Linked DNA regions of Coturnix japonica. The protein of the gene in region 2 interacts with the protein of the main gene of each other region in a biochemical or structural test. Links are inferred from orthologs where the notes say so. Each region holds a gene or a part of one and is shown on either strand. Other genes may lie near its edges. The genes, in order: EEF1A1, PLCG1 and BAG3.

The links.
Region 1: the proteins of PLCG1 (region 2) and EEF1A1 form a complex in vitro, tested with the Homo sapiens proteins (2 studies listed by BioGRID, with this or other methods). The link is inferred for Coturnix japonica from reciprocal best matches to the Homo sapiens genes PLCG1 and EEF1A1.
Region 3: the proteins of PLCG1 (region 2) and BAG3 form a complex in vitro, tested with the Homo sapiens proteins (2 studies listed by BioGRID). The link is inferred for Coturnix japonica from reciprocal best matches to the Homo sapiens genes PLCG1 and BAG3.

What each region holds. Positions count from the first base shown.
Region 1 is NC_029518.1:74,353,094-74,356,840, reverse strand, and holds the start of EEF1A1 (elongation factor 1-alpha 1), read right to left. Parts: upstream 2,746-3,747; 5' UTR 2,617-2,745; intron 1,872-2,616; 5' UTR 1,825-1,871; coding exon 1,681-1,824; intron 666-1,680; coding exon 486-665; intron 357-485; coding exon 60-356; intron 1-59. UniProt on the Homo sapiens protein: Translation elongation factor that catalyzes the GTP-dependent binding of aminoacyl-tRNA (aa-tRNA) to the A-site of ribosomes during the elongation phase of protein synthesis.
Region 2 is NC_029535.1:4,220,506-4,223,945, reverse strand, and holds the end of PLCG1 (1-phosphatidylinositol 4,5-bisphosphate phosphodiesterase gamma-1), read right to left. Parts: intron 2,703-3,440; coding exon 2,588-2,702; intron 2,351-2,587; coding exon 2,189-2,350; intron 2,080-2,188; coding exon 1,991-2,079; intron 1,583-1,990; coding exon 1,395-1,582; intron 1,064-1,394; coding exon 1,021-1,063; 3' UTR 634-1,020; downstream 1-633. UniProt on the Homo sapiens protein: Mediates the production of the second messenger molecules diacylglycerol (DAG) and inositol 1,4,5-trisphosphate (IP3). Plays an important role in the regulation of intracellular signaling cascades.
Region 3 is NC_029521.1:27,000,196-27,003,842, forward strand, and holds part of BAG3 (BAG family molecular chaperone regulator 3), read left to right. Parts: intron 1-781; coding exon 782-1,135; intron 1,136-3,165; coding exon 3,166-3,549; intron 3,550-3,647. UniProt on the Homo sapiens protein: Co-chaperone and adapter protein that connects different classes of molecular chaperones including heat shock proteins 70 (HSP70s), e.g. HSPA1A/HSP70 or HSPA8/HSC70, and small heat shock proteins (sHSPs), e.g. HSPB8.

The DNA.
Region 1 (3,747 bases), on a different chromosome or scaffold from region 2:
TCTTAATGATCCTGCTAGTTCCATTTCCTAATATTAAAAAGGAAAACAGGGAAACCTACGTTAGAGCTGGGCTCCAGCATGTTGTCCCCGTTCCAACCAGAGATTGGCACAAAAGCTACAGTGTCTGGGTTGTAGCCAATTTTCTTGATGTAAGTGCTGACTTCCTTGACGATCTCTTCGTATCTCTTCTGGCTGTAAGCGGGCTCAGTGGAATCCATCTTGTTAACACCAACGATCAGCTGTTTCACACCCAGGGTGTAGGCCAGAAGAGCGTGCTCGCGGGTCTGCCCGTTCTTGGAAATACCGGCCTCGAACTCACCAACACCAGCAGCAACAATCAGGACAGCACAATCAGCCTTTGAAAAGGTAGAAAAAAGCCCTTGTTAGAAAGCCTACACGCACACTAAAGCACATGGGCAATTTCCCTGCTGTAAACCAGCCAAGGAGCAGCTTCCCTCAACTCCCCACATCCTTTATTTCCTTACCTGAGAAGTTCCAGTGATCATGTTCTTAATGAAGTCTCTGTGTCCAGGAGCGTCGATGATGGTGACGTAGTACTTGCTTGTTTCAAATTTCCACAGGGAAATATCAATAGTGATACCACGCTCACGCTCAGCCTTGAGCTTGTCCAAGACCCAGGCGTATTTGAAGGAACCTTTGCCCATCTATGGGTTTGAAACAGGAAAAAAAAACCCCTCAAGATATATATTTTCATTTACCTCACCAAGACCATGAAATACACACTAACGAGCAAAGTTATTAATAGGGAGTGACTTACACTGAAAGCTGCTGTTGCTCATAAAACTCTGGCCTAGGTTCACTTGGCACTACTACCAAGATATGCCAACTGCTCTGTCATTTAACCTGCTGACACTTCAGCCCTCTTGACAACTTGTTAATTGTGCTAACACATCTTTATGATGGATCTCTTAAGGCTTAGTCCTACTATCAAGTGTCCACTACAAATTTTAGCTTAGTTACTAATGCCATCCCTGCTCCAGTTGGTATTTTAACAGCCACACAGCCCAGCATTCACTGCATTTCCTTTTATCATGTGCTTACGAGGTGCTATTTTATCACTAAAACAAAACAAAGGAAAACTGGAATACTTCCACAGGTTCACATAATGGTACCTTAGACTCTCCCACCTTGAGACAAGGCTGATCATTACATTTTCAACTAAACTACAAGATGACATGAGACAACAGTCTAAAGCTGTGCCAGGGGAGGTCCAGATTGGATATTAGGAGTAATTCCTACTCCATAAGAGCAGCAATGCATTGAAACAGGCTGTGCACAGAGATGGTGGAGTCACTACCCTTGAAGTGTCCAAGAAACCTGCTGACGTGGCACTGAGGGACATGGTTAGTGGCCATGGTGGGGATGGGCTGATAGTTGGAGTTTCAAGGTCTTCTCCAACATTAACGATTCTGTAATTCTCAATCCAGGCCGAGAATGAAGATGGGAGCTCCCATTTTGATTCTAAGCGTTCAGATTTAGCTTCATGCTCTTTATTCTATGCTTCGATGACTTCACCTTAACATAACAGATTGAGTACTCTAGTTCAATTACCAGGACAATCTCGACCCAACCGCCTCCTTGTGGTAGTAAAACGTTCTGGTTTCCTTCCTTTTGCCCCTTATTCCCCCCAGTCTCCCACCACACGGCTGCCTCACACACCTCGGCCGCCTCCTTCTCGAACTTCTCGATGGTCCTCTTGTCGATGCCACCACATTTGTAGATGAGGTGCCCGGTGGTGGTGGACTTGCCGGAATCGACGTGGCCGATGACGACGATGTTAATGTGAGTCTTCTCCTTTCCCATTTCGGATGGTCTTTAGCTTCTTTCTTCCGGCCAAAGAGAAACGACACCTGAAAGTTCCAGAAGGAATCCCGGTTACAGCGGCCGCCCCCGTCCCGCAGCAGCGCCGCCCGCAGGGGGCAGAGGGCCCGTGTAGGCTCGGCCCCGCCCCACCGGGGGATGGGAGGGGGGAGTCGAGCAGCGGGGAGAGGCGGGCGGTGTTGGCGGCCCGTGTCCCCTCCGGCTCGCCCCCCTCCTCCGTCGCCCCCTCCCCGCATGGCGGCCGGGCCGGGCCGTGCTGGGGCGGCGGCGCGGGGCGGCGCGGAGGGCGGGGCCGCCCCTCTCCTTTGTGTGTGACTCACCCCGCCCGGGCCGCCGTCCTCCATTTTGTGAGCTGACGGCGGCAGGAAGAGCGGGCGGCCATTTTTTTTCTCGTGCCCCGGCCTTCCCTTCCCCCATCGCCCACACCGACGGCGCGGCCCCGCCATCCCCGGCCGCCACCCGCGTACGGCCGAGCACCGCACGCCGCACAGCAGCGCCAGGCGGCTCCGCAAGAAGCCGAAGCGGCGGTGCGGCCCCATGTGCTCATCGCGGCGCTGCCTCGCGTGAGCCCTCGGATGGGACACGTCGGCGTTACGCCGCCGCTCGCCCCGCTTCCCCCATCCGCCCCTTATCTCGCCATCCCCCCGCTCCGCCATCCCCACGCACCGCTGCACGGCGGCGCCTCAACCCCCCGCTCACGGTACATCCACGCACCCCCAGCATCCCCGCTCCCCCCACCCCCGGGCCCGGCCCGCCCCGCCGCACGCTCCTCACCCGCACGGCGTCGGCAAACCCGGAGCGGAAAAGAACGACGGCGTGAGCGCCGCCCCTTATATACCCTGCCACGGGGCGGGGCCTCGGCGCCGCGTCACGGCTCCCGGCGGGCCCAGCGCTAAGCCCCGCGCTAAGCCCCGCCCGGCAGCGCCGCACGCCGTGCTCCCCTGGGGGCGGCGGGGAGGGGCGGGGTGCGGATCCCAGCCCCGGGGGAGCCGGGCCGAGTGGCGGCCGGTCGGGACTCGCTGCCCCAATGCTGAACGGCATCGCCTGGAGCGCGGCCAGCCGGGATGGAGGTGCCGCTCCGCCGCCTCCCCCTCGGCACGGCAGCCATAGAGTCGCCGAGCTCCGCCTCAGGCCCGAGACTGCGGCCCGAGGGGACGCGGACAGCGAGCTGCGGGGTGGGAACTTGCAGACTAGCAGAGATCCCCGGTGGCCTCGCGTTTCACACAGGGCCAAGGAGATTCGCTTCAGCATCAATTCGGGGCTTCTGCTTGAGAGCTCCAAACTGCCCCGAGTGCCCCCATGCCGTACATTCCCGGCTGACAGGTGCCCCATGAGAGTCACCAAAGGTGCTGGCAGCCCCAGCCTTTGGCTTCTGAAACGGGGGCACCAGCACTGAAAGCCCTCGTGATTCCAGCAGGGTGTACTCGTGTAAAACACCTGTATGGCTTTCTAGTGGGAAATTAACCCCAGAAGGGAAACAAATACTTTATTCCTTTAATCACAGAACGACCTGGTTTGGAAGGGACCTCAAGGATCACCCCCTGCCTGGCAGGGCCACCAAACATACACATTTACTAGATCAGGTTGCCCAGGGCCCCATCCATCCTGGCCTTGAACACCTCCAAGGACGGGGCATCCACAACCTCCCTGGGCAGTCTGGGTTAAAAGGATCTGTTTTCTTCTTCTAAGAGAATGTAATGCACCCATGTTACAGTTACTTACGTGTACTCAACTGTAATCCCATTCAATTGTTGGCAGGGGCTCCACAGAACATGCTGAGTTGGAAGGCAGCCCCAGGGATCACCGCGTCCCACTCCTGGCTCCACACGTCTGAGAGCAGCATCCAAATGCTCCTTGAACTCCAGCACCGCGGGCCATACCCACCAATATATAACTATAGCTCAC
Region 2 (3,440 bases):
AATGTTAATTGTAGCTGCACAGGGACCTTTCATAAGGGTGGCTATGCAGCTGGGGGCAGAGCAGCAGCTCTGCTGTGTCTTTGTACCGGGGGGGGGGTTCCAGTGGGTTCTTAAGTGTTTTTTAAGACCACGATTTGAGTTGGTCACCTTGGCAGCCGGGAGAGGCAGGAAATAGTTTTTACTTTTGGTAAAGGTTTTAAAGAAGAAAACAAAACAAAAAGTGAAGCTGCCTGTGACTGTGGGCTGTGGCTGTGACTCGGGCTGGGGTAGCTTGCACTGCTATGGACTTTACTGCTCTCATTCCGAGGGCACGAACTCCCTGTAGCAACAATGCCACTTCTGAGAAGTGAACGGCAAGTTTCCCTTCCTTTTGTATATGTGAACGTGAGGGTGGGAGAGGGAAAGAGCTTGCTTGTACAGTTTGTTGAAATGAAACCAGACATTTTTGGTTGTTCCTAAATAAAGAGTGTAAAATACAAATGAGAGTCAGCTGGTGATTGCGGGGCTGCATCCCCACATTGCAGCCCTACCCCACTGCCACTTCTCACCCCCCACCCCAGCTGTAACCATGGGGCTGCTCCTGCTCACTCATCCCAGCAAGGAGAATGGCAAGGGCAGCAAAATGAGACAGCGTGCATGTAATACTGACACGTTTATTGGAGTTTAAGCTACAAGTGGGGCCTGCAGCCCCCAGCCCAGTGCACACCAATACAGCAGAGGGGTGGCGGGTCGTATGTGCAGAGGTTTTGTCTCTCACCCCAGCAGCTGTTGGGCTGTGCACATCCCTGCACGTCATTAAGGGTTTGTCGGTGAAGGTGGGTGGGTGGGTGTTTGGGTGGTTCTTTTGGTTGTTTATTATTATTTTTTTCCCAATTTTTTTTTAGTTCTCCGCTCAAACACACTTCAGCGGAGAAACTGGAAAAGCTGCCTGAAAGTAGGCCATAGCAGTGCCGTTTCAATAGAAACCAGTTCGCAGCGTGCCGTGAGATCCACAGGCACGGGAGGTGCTTCCAGCCAGCCCTACAGCCGGTTGTCCCCGTTGACTCTGGTCCTTCGCAGCACCCTATGGGGACAACAGAGGGGATGCAGTGTTGGAGCAGTGCTTCCAGGTCCTGTGCTGCATCCCACCACTCTGAGATTTCTATTTCCAGCTCCTATGCCCATGCCTGAATAGCACAGAGGCATGGAGGGATGGAAGAGCTCACAGCTCCCCCCATGCATCCCACACTATGCATCTCATCACCCCCCACCCCAATCAGTGAACCCCCAACAAGCCTTACCCTCACTTCCCAGCTTAATTTAGGGCTTCCAGAAAGCAGACAAGGCTACGACTCAGCTCTATCAGGATGCTGCATTTCACAGCCTGCCCCCCAAGGACCCTCCCCAGTGCCCACCTTCGCTCCCGGCTCTCAAAGTGCTCCGCCAGCTGCTCCTGTGACACTCGGAAGTCTTCAAATGGCTGCTGGTACCGCACCTCGAAGGAGCCCTCCCTGGCTCTGCTGGCCAGCAGCTGGCTGGCCATGTCCCCACCTCGCTCCCGCAGCACGGAGCCACCAAAGAGGCTGATGTCACCATTCTCCTGCTTGGGTCAGAGCAAAGAGCAGTGAAGGGGTTGAGATGGTGCAGAGCTATAGACAGGGCTGCCCTGGGCCATACAGCTAATCTATAGTGTCCCAGGCTTCCAGGTACTGGAAGCTCCATCATGGGATCCCACCAAAATGGACTCATAGGTTGGAAAACAGCCCTGAGATCACTAAGTCCAACCACCAACTGGACCTCCCCGCTTCTAAGCCGCATCTATTGCCACAGCTGCACCCCCTGAACTATCTGCAGGGACACACCACCCAGGGCAACCCATTCCAGTGCATGATTTTAGGTGAAGAAATCAAAGAATCTCCTTCTGCATGGCCCTGAGCCCTGGGGACTGGATGGGAGCAGGAGTCAGGACAGCACAGCTGTGCACTGGAGGATGGGTACAGCAATGCCTCACCTTGCTGGGGAAGATGTCAATCTTGACGAGCAGGGAAGCCAGCTCCAGGTTCTCACTGTAGTTGTTCTTCAGGGGTACGGCTCGGAACCCTGCGGCACACACAGCCCCACGCTATTTGCAGCACAGCTCCTTGACTGCCCCGTGCTCAGCAAATGGATGAGCACCAACACGGCACACACAGCAGCTCTGAGCCCTTACCGGTCTTCAAGCCTTTCACCAGGAAAGTCGCCTGTGCCAGGAAGTTCTCATCACTGAACATGTCCTCCTCATACACCACGAAGCGGAGGAAGGCGAACTCAGGGTTGCTGACCTGGAAGTGGAACTGCTTTGGGCTCCAGAGGGGGTTCAGGCCGTTGTCCGCTGTGCACAGAACACTGCAGTGAGAGGGCAGCCCCAGCACTGCTTTGCTCCTTCCACCCTTAAAGGTGGAAGCAGAGCCCCCAGCCCCATCTCCTCCCTTTGGTGTGAGGGTGTCTGAGCACCACGGCCAGCCCTCCCCACTCTGCTGCCAAGCCCCTGATAAGCACTGCAGCCAGCACAAAGGCTGCATCTGGGGGGAAACCAGCCCACCCATGCCACCTCTCCTTCCACACTCACCCACAATCTCTGTTTTCTGCTTCGCGTTGTCATACTCTGCCCCAGACACCTCCACCTCCACAAAAGGACACACGATTCCTCTGCCATTTTTGGGGAGGTGCCGGGCCCCCAGGACCTGGGGAACAGAGACTGAGTGAAGGGTGGGAGCCAAGGAAAAGACTTGTTTGCATACACAAACTTGCTGTCTGAGTAACTCCCCCCTGGGCTGCACTAAGCAGAGGTAGGAGAGATGCTGACACCTGGAGGGAAGCAGCTCTCAGATGTAGAACTGCTGCATATCACCAGTTTGTAGTTTAGCCTGAAGCCAGCAGCTCAGCTGCCCGCAGTCCTGCTGCAGCTGCACAGCCCAGCTGTGACCATGGCATCACTCCCCTAAGCTGGACCTTGGCACTGGGCACCCATGGCTTCATCAGAACTTCTCGCTCCCATCACTTTGGCTGGAGGAAGCTGTTCCTCCCCTCTGCCTGCAGCAGTGGGTGCTCAGCACAGAGGACAACCTGCTTCCTCACAGCACAGCTCCCCGCTCCTCCTGCCAAGAGCCATATGTCACTGGAGCAGGGGAAGGAGGCTCTGCCAGCACCGCATCACATGCTTTGAGTCATGCTGTGCTCCAGGCAGCTTCTCCATCCATGAAAGCTGGTGTTGGCTGGGGACAGCGGGCAGCTTTGAGCTCATCTCTTCAAGGAGACGGCTGTGGCATGGGGTCCCTTGATGCCTGGAGGCTGCAGCTTCACCCCGAGATGCAGGAAGAGTTTGAGGGGCAGCGCTTTGGTAAATGGAAGTCACAGAGAAATGGTGTTAGGGATTTCTAGGGAGTTATCATATGGATAATGCCAATGCCATGCCCCCCCCC
Region 3 (3,647 bases), on a different chromosome or scaffold from region 2:
CATTACCCTCTGAATGACAGAGGTGCTTGTTACATGATCTGACTTAGAGATACATCTGGAACTTGGCCCTAGCTGGGCCTCAAAATAGAATGACCGATGCAGGAAGAACTTAATAGAGGACTTGGGAGGGATCTTGGTACAAAGCACTTTCCCCCTTGCCAGAGCTTTGACATTGTCCAGTGAGTGCAGTTGGCCAGCACAGGAATTAATATTATCTAACCTTCCAGCATTTTCCTCTTCATTATGTTATCCTGTTGGAATCTGCTGAAGTGGATCCTCTCTTGGCTGTGAGTATCTTCTTCAGAATGAAGCAGCAGTAACTCTAGATAGGCAGTAGGAAGCACAATACCAACAAATACTGCTCTATGATGAGATAAATCTTCTAAGTTTCTTTTCTGCTGTTATCTATAACGCTGGGTGGATTTGAAGGGGTGTTAAGGAAACATCTGTGGTCCCTGAAGCTCTCATTTAATTAGCATGGTACCAGGTGAGGCAGCTGGACTCATGGCTGTATGCAGGTAGTGAGCGCTACAGAAAATCCCTGTTGTAATGTGGTATTTTAGTGCCTCAGTTAGCATTTATCAGCACTGAGGGTGAAAGGCTCATACCTAATTGGTGTTCAGCTTCCTTTCTCCTGCCTGCTGACCTTGCACAGACCTGAGGAGCTGAGCTTCTCATGCCTGGCTGACGCTTCTTTTAGACAGACCTTTATGGCTGCTTTCTTACGTGGTATGTTGAGCTGAGCTACCAACAAATGCTATGTGATGTTTTTAATTTCTAGGATGGCCAGTCGTCAGCAAATGGCCCATCTCAAGATAGTCCCAGGCAGATGCCAGCACGGGAAGGAAACGTGGTGTACCCCAAGCTCCGGGCTGGCTACATCCCCATCCCAGTCATCCACGAGGGCATCGACAGCAGACAGCACCCATACTTTGCTGCTCCACAGCCCGGCGTACAGCGGTACAAAGCAGAAGCCGTGCCCACCACAGCGCAGGCACAGCCACCACTGAGGGGGGCCTATGCCAGCCCTGAGTCCCCTCATAGGGGGCCGGCTGAGGCTTCCCAGGCAGATAAACAATGTGGACAGACAACAGCAGCTGCAGCAGCCCCAGCTCCAGCGACACACGGACCTGAGGTAACTCGGCAGTACTGCTGGGGTGTGTGTGCCTTGGTCTCTGCGGCCATGTATGACCTGACTGTCACACGAGTACTTTATCCTTTGGAAAGCCAAACCTGCCACAGGATTACATTTTCCCAATACTTCCACAGTGTTGAAATACAAAAGTGCTCAGTCACTTCAGCAGAAGTGTTTCACATTTTTCCGGCATTGACAGCTTTTGTTATCAAGTGATTTGCACAGAAACAAGCCTGTGAAAATTTTCTCTATAAAAAAGCCTGTGAATGGTGCAGGTGCTCCTGCGGCAGGTGAGGGCTGTTGTAGGGTTTAGAGTGGTTACTCTGCAAGCTGGGAATGCAGGCAGATCTCTTGCATTCCCTATGTGGGAAACAGGTGAGCAAGGGGAGAGACACAAAATACAAGTGTCCCATTAGCTGACAGCTTAGGCTGTTTCAGAAACAGGGCTATTCTGCTTTCCAGTTTAATACTCTGGTTTTATTAATTGTATAGATCTGCATACACAGATTTAGAAGTGAATTCGGAAATATTTTTGTTGTTATTTTGTAGTATGTTATAATACATGAACTGCTTTAAAAAGAGTCACCCTCCTTGCTTTGCTTTTCAAAAGGCAGGATTTTGGTTTGTCTGTTATCTCCTCAGAATTAGCAGGAGCAGTATTCTTGTAATAGGCTGAAGCACTAATCTCACTTCTGTTCCAAGTAAAATAAGCAGGAAATCGAGCCTCTATCAGCATGAAAACACATGGGGAATTTTTCATGTCGGCAGTGGCAGATATTTTTCTAAAACCTGTTTTTGTGTCTGAACAAGACAATTAAAATCCTGTTCGCAGTTTTCCTCAGTTGTTGCTGCTTTATCCATGAAGTGCAAGGATGGGAGGCTTAGTTCTTCCTTCTCTCAACTTAATGCAGCTGGGAATATACTTTTGTATTACATGCAGAATTGCTTCAGAAAAGTCTTCTCCATCTCATGTGCTCTGAGATAACTGCTGAGGACTGGAGAAGCTGCCATCACAAACTTAGGTGGCATGGGCACTAACTGACCAGGGCACTGACACAGCAGTGCTGGTGCCTGTAGAAAAAGTAGCATTTATTTATAGCTGCTGAGCTGCAGAGGTGAGCATTAACTAGCACAAAAGACATCTTGTTCCCTATCCTTTCTCACCTTGCCTGCCTACTTGTTGCTTCCAGCTACATTGTCCTGCTCTCCCTCCTGTGCTAACTCCAGTCTTACCTGGCCTGTCACTGAGATATCAATAAACCTGTCAGGAAATAATTTTTCCTCTCCTTCATGGGTTAAAGTATAGAGAATAGTCCATAGTAGGTGAGTTGATGGACTGGCACAGCAGGAGTAGAGAAGGAGTGAGCTGTGAGCAAATAAACTGCCTTTCCCCAGATGCTGTGGAACCATAACCTGAAATACCAGAAGCTGAATTGTGGTGTATCCCCAGCACTTGCTCCTGCTTACAGCAAATCTACACTAGTGCAGCTATCACTCCTGGTGCCAACAGGGCTGATGTGCTGGAAGGTCTCGTGAGGGGTCAAGGGGCATTAGCCACACATAGCAGGCTTTGGCAGTGCACTAAATTACATGCTTAAAGAAGTAAATAAATCTGTTAGCATGAGTGGGATCAGAAGTCTGAACTTTGTGTGCCTCTGAGTAGTTTGTTTTTTGTCTGCAGTACATAATTTGTTTGCTTAACTTTAGTTTGCCTCACATTTAACAGGTTTAGACAGGAGTAGCCATGTAAAAACAGAAAACATTCTGAGTGAGCATCCACTCCCTGCTTACTTGAGGGCTGGGAATGCTGTAGCTCAGGTTATTACTTGTTATAATGATGCTCTCTCACAACTTCTGTGGTTTGTCTAGCAAGGCAAAAAAAAATAGAACACAAACCAACACAAACCCAAACCAAGGACGTAGATCTTTTGTATGTGGGAACACAAATTCAGTTTCCATTTCTCTTTGAAAATGAAAAGTGCTATGAGCTGAAACAGCTGATTTAATAATGGATTTTGTTTTCATGGCAGCCTCAGTCTCCTGGAGCTTCTGATTCTCAAACGGTTCCACCTCAGTCATCTGGCAGATCCAATTCAGGAAGCCATCAGCTTCCCCGTGGCTATATTTCAATTCCTGTGATCCATGAAAATATCCAAAGGCAACCACCGCAAGGCTACCATCAGGCCCAGAAGACACACTACCCTGCCCAGCAGAGTGAATTCCAAGCCCACCAACCTGTATTTCCCAGAATTCAACCAGATGACAGGGAGCCTAAGACAGCACGAGCACAGTCTCCATTCAGAGCCACTCAGAGAGGGGCATCAAGTCGTGAGAGTTCACCTGCCAGAATTATCACCCAGCAGGTACAGCCCTCGACTCCCATCACAGTACAGACGGTCGTAGACAGACCTCAGGTATGTAGAGCGGGGAGGGTTATTACCTTCCACTTATCTCTGCTAGCCGTGCTGGGCTAGAGCTGAAACAGTGGCTCATACCCACAGGTACATGAAAG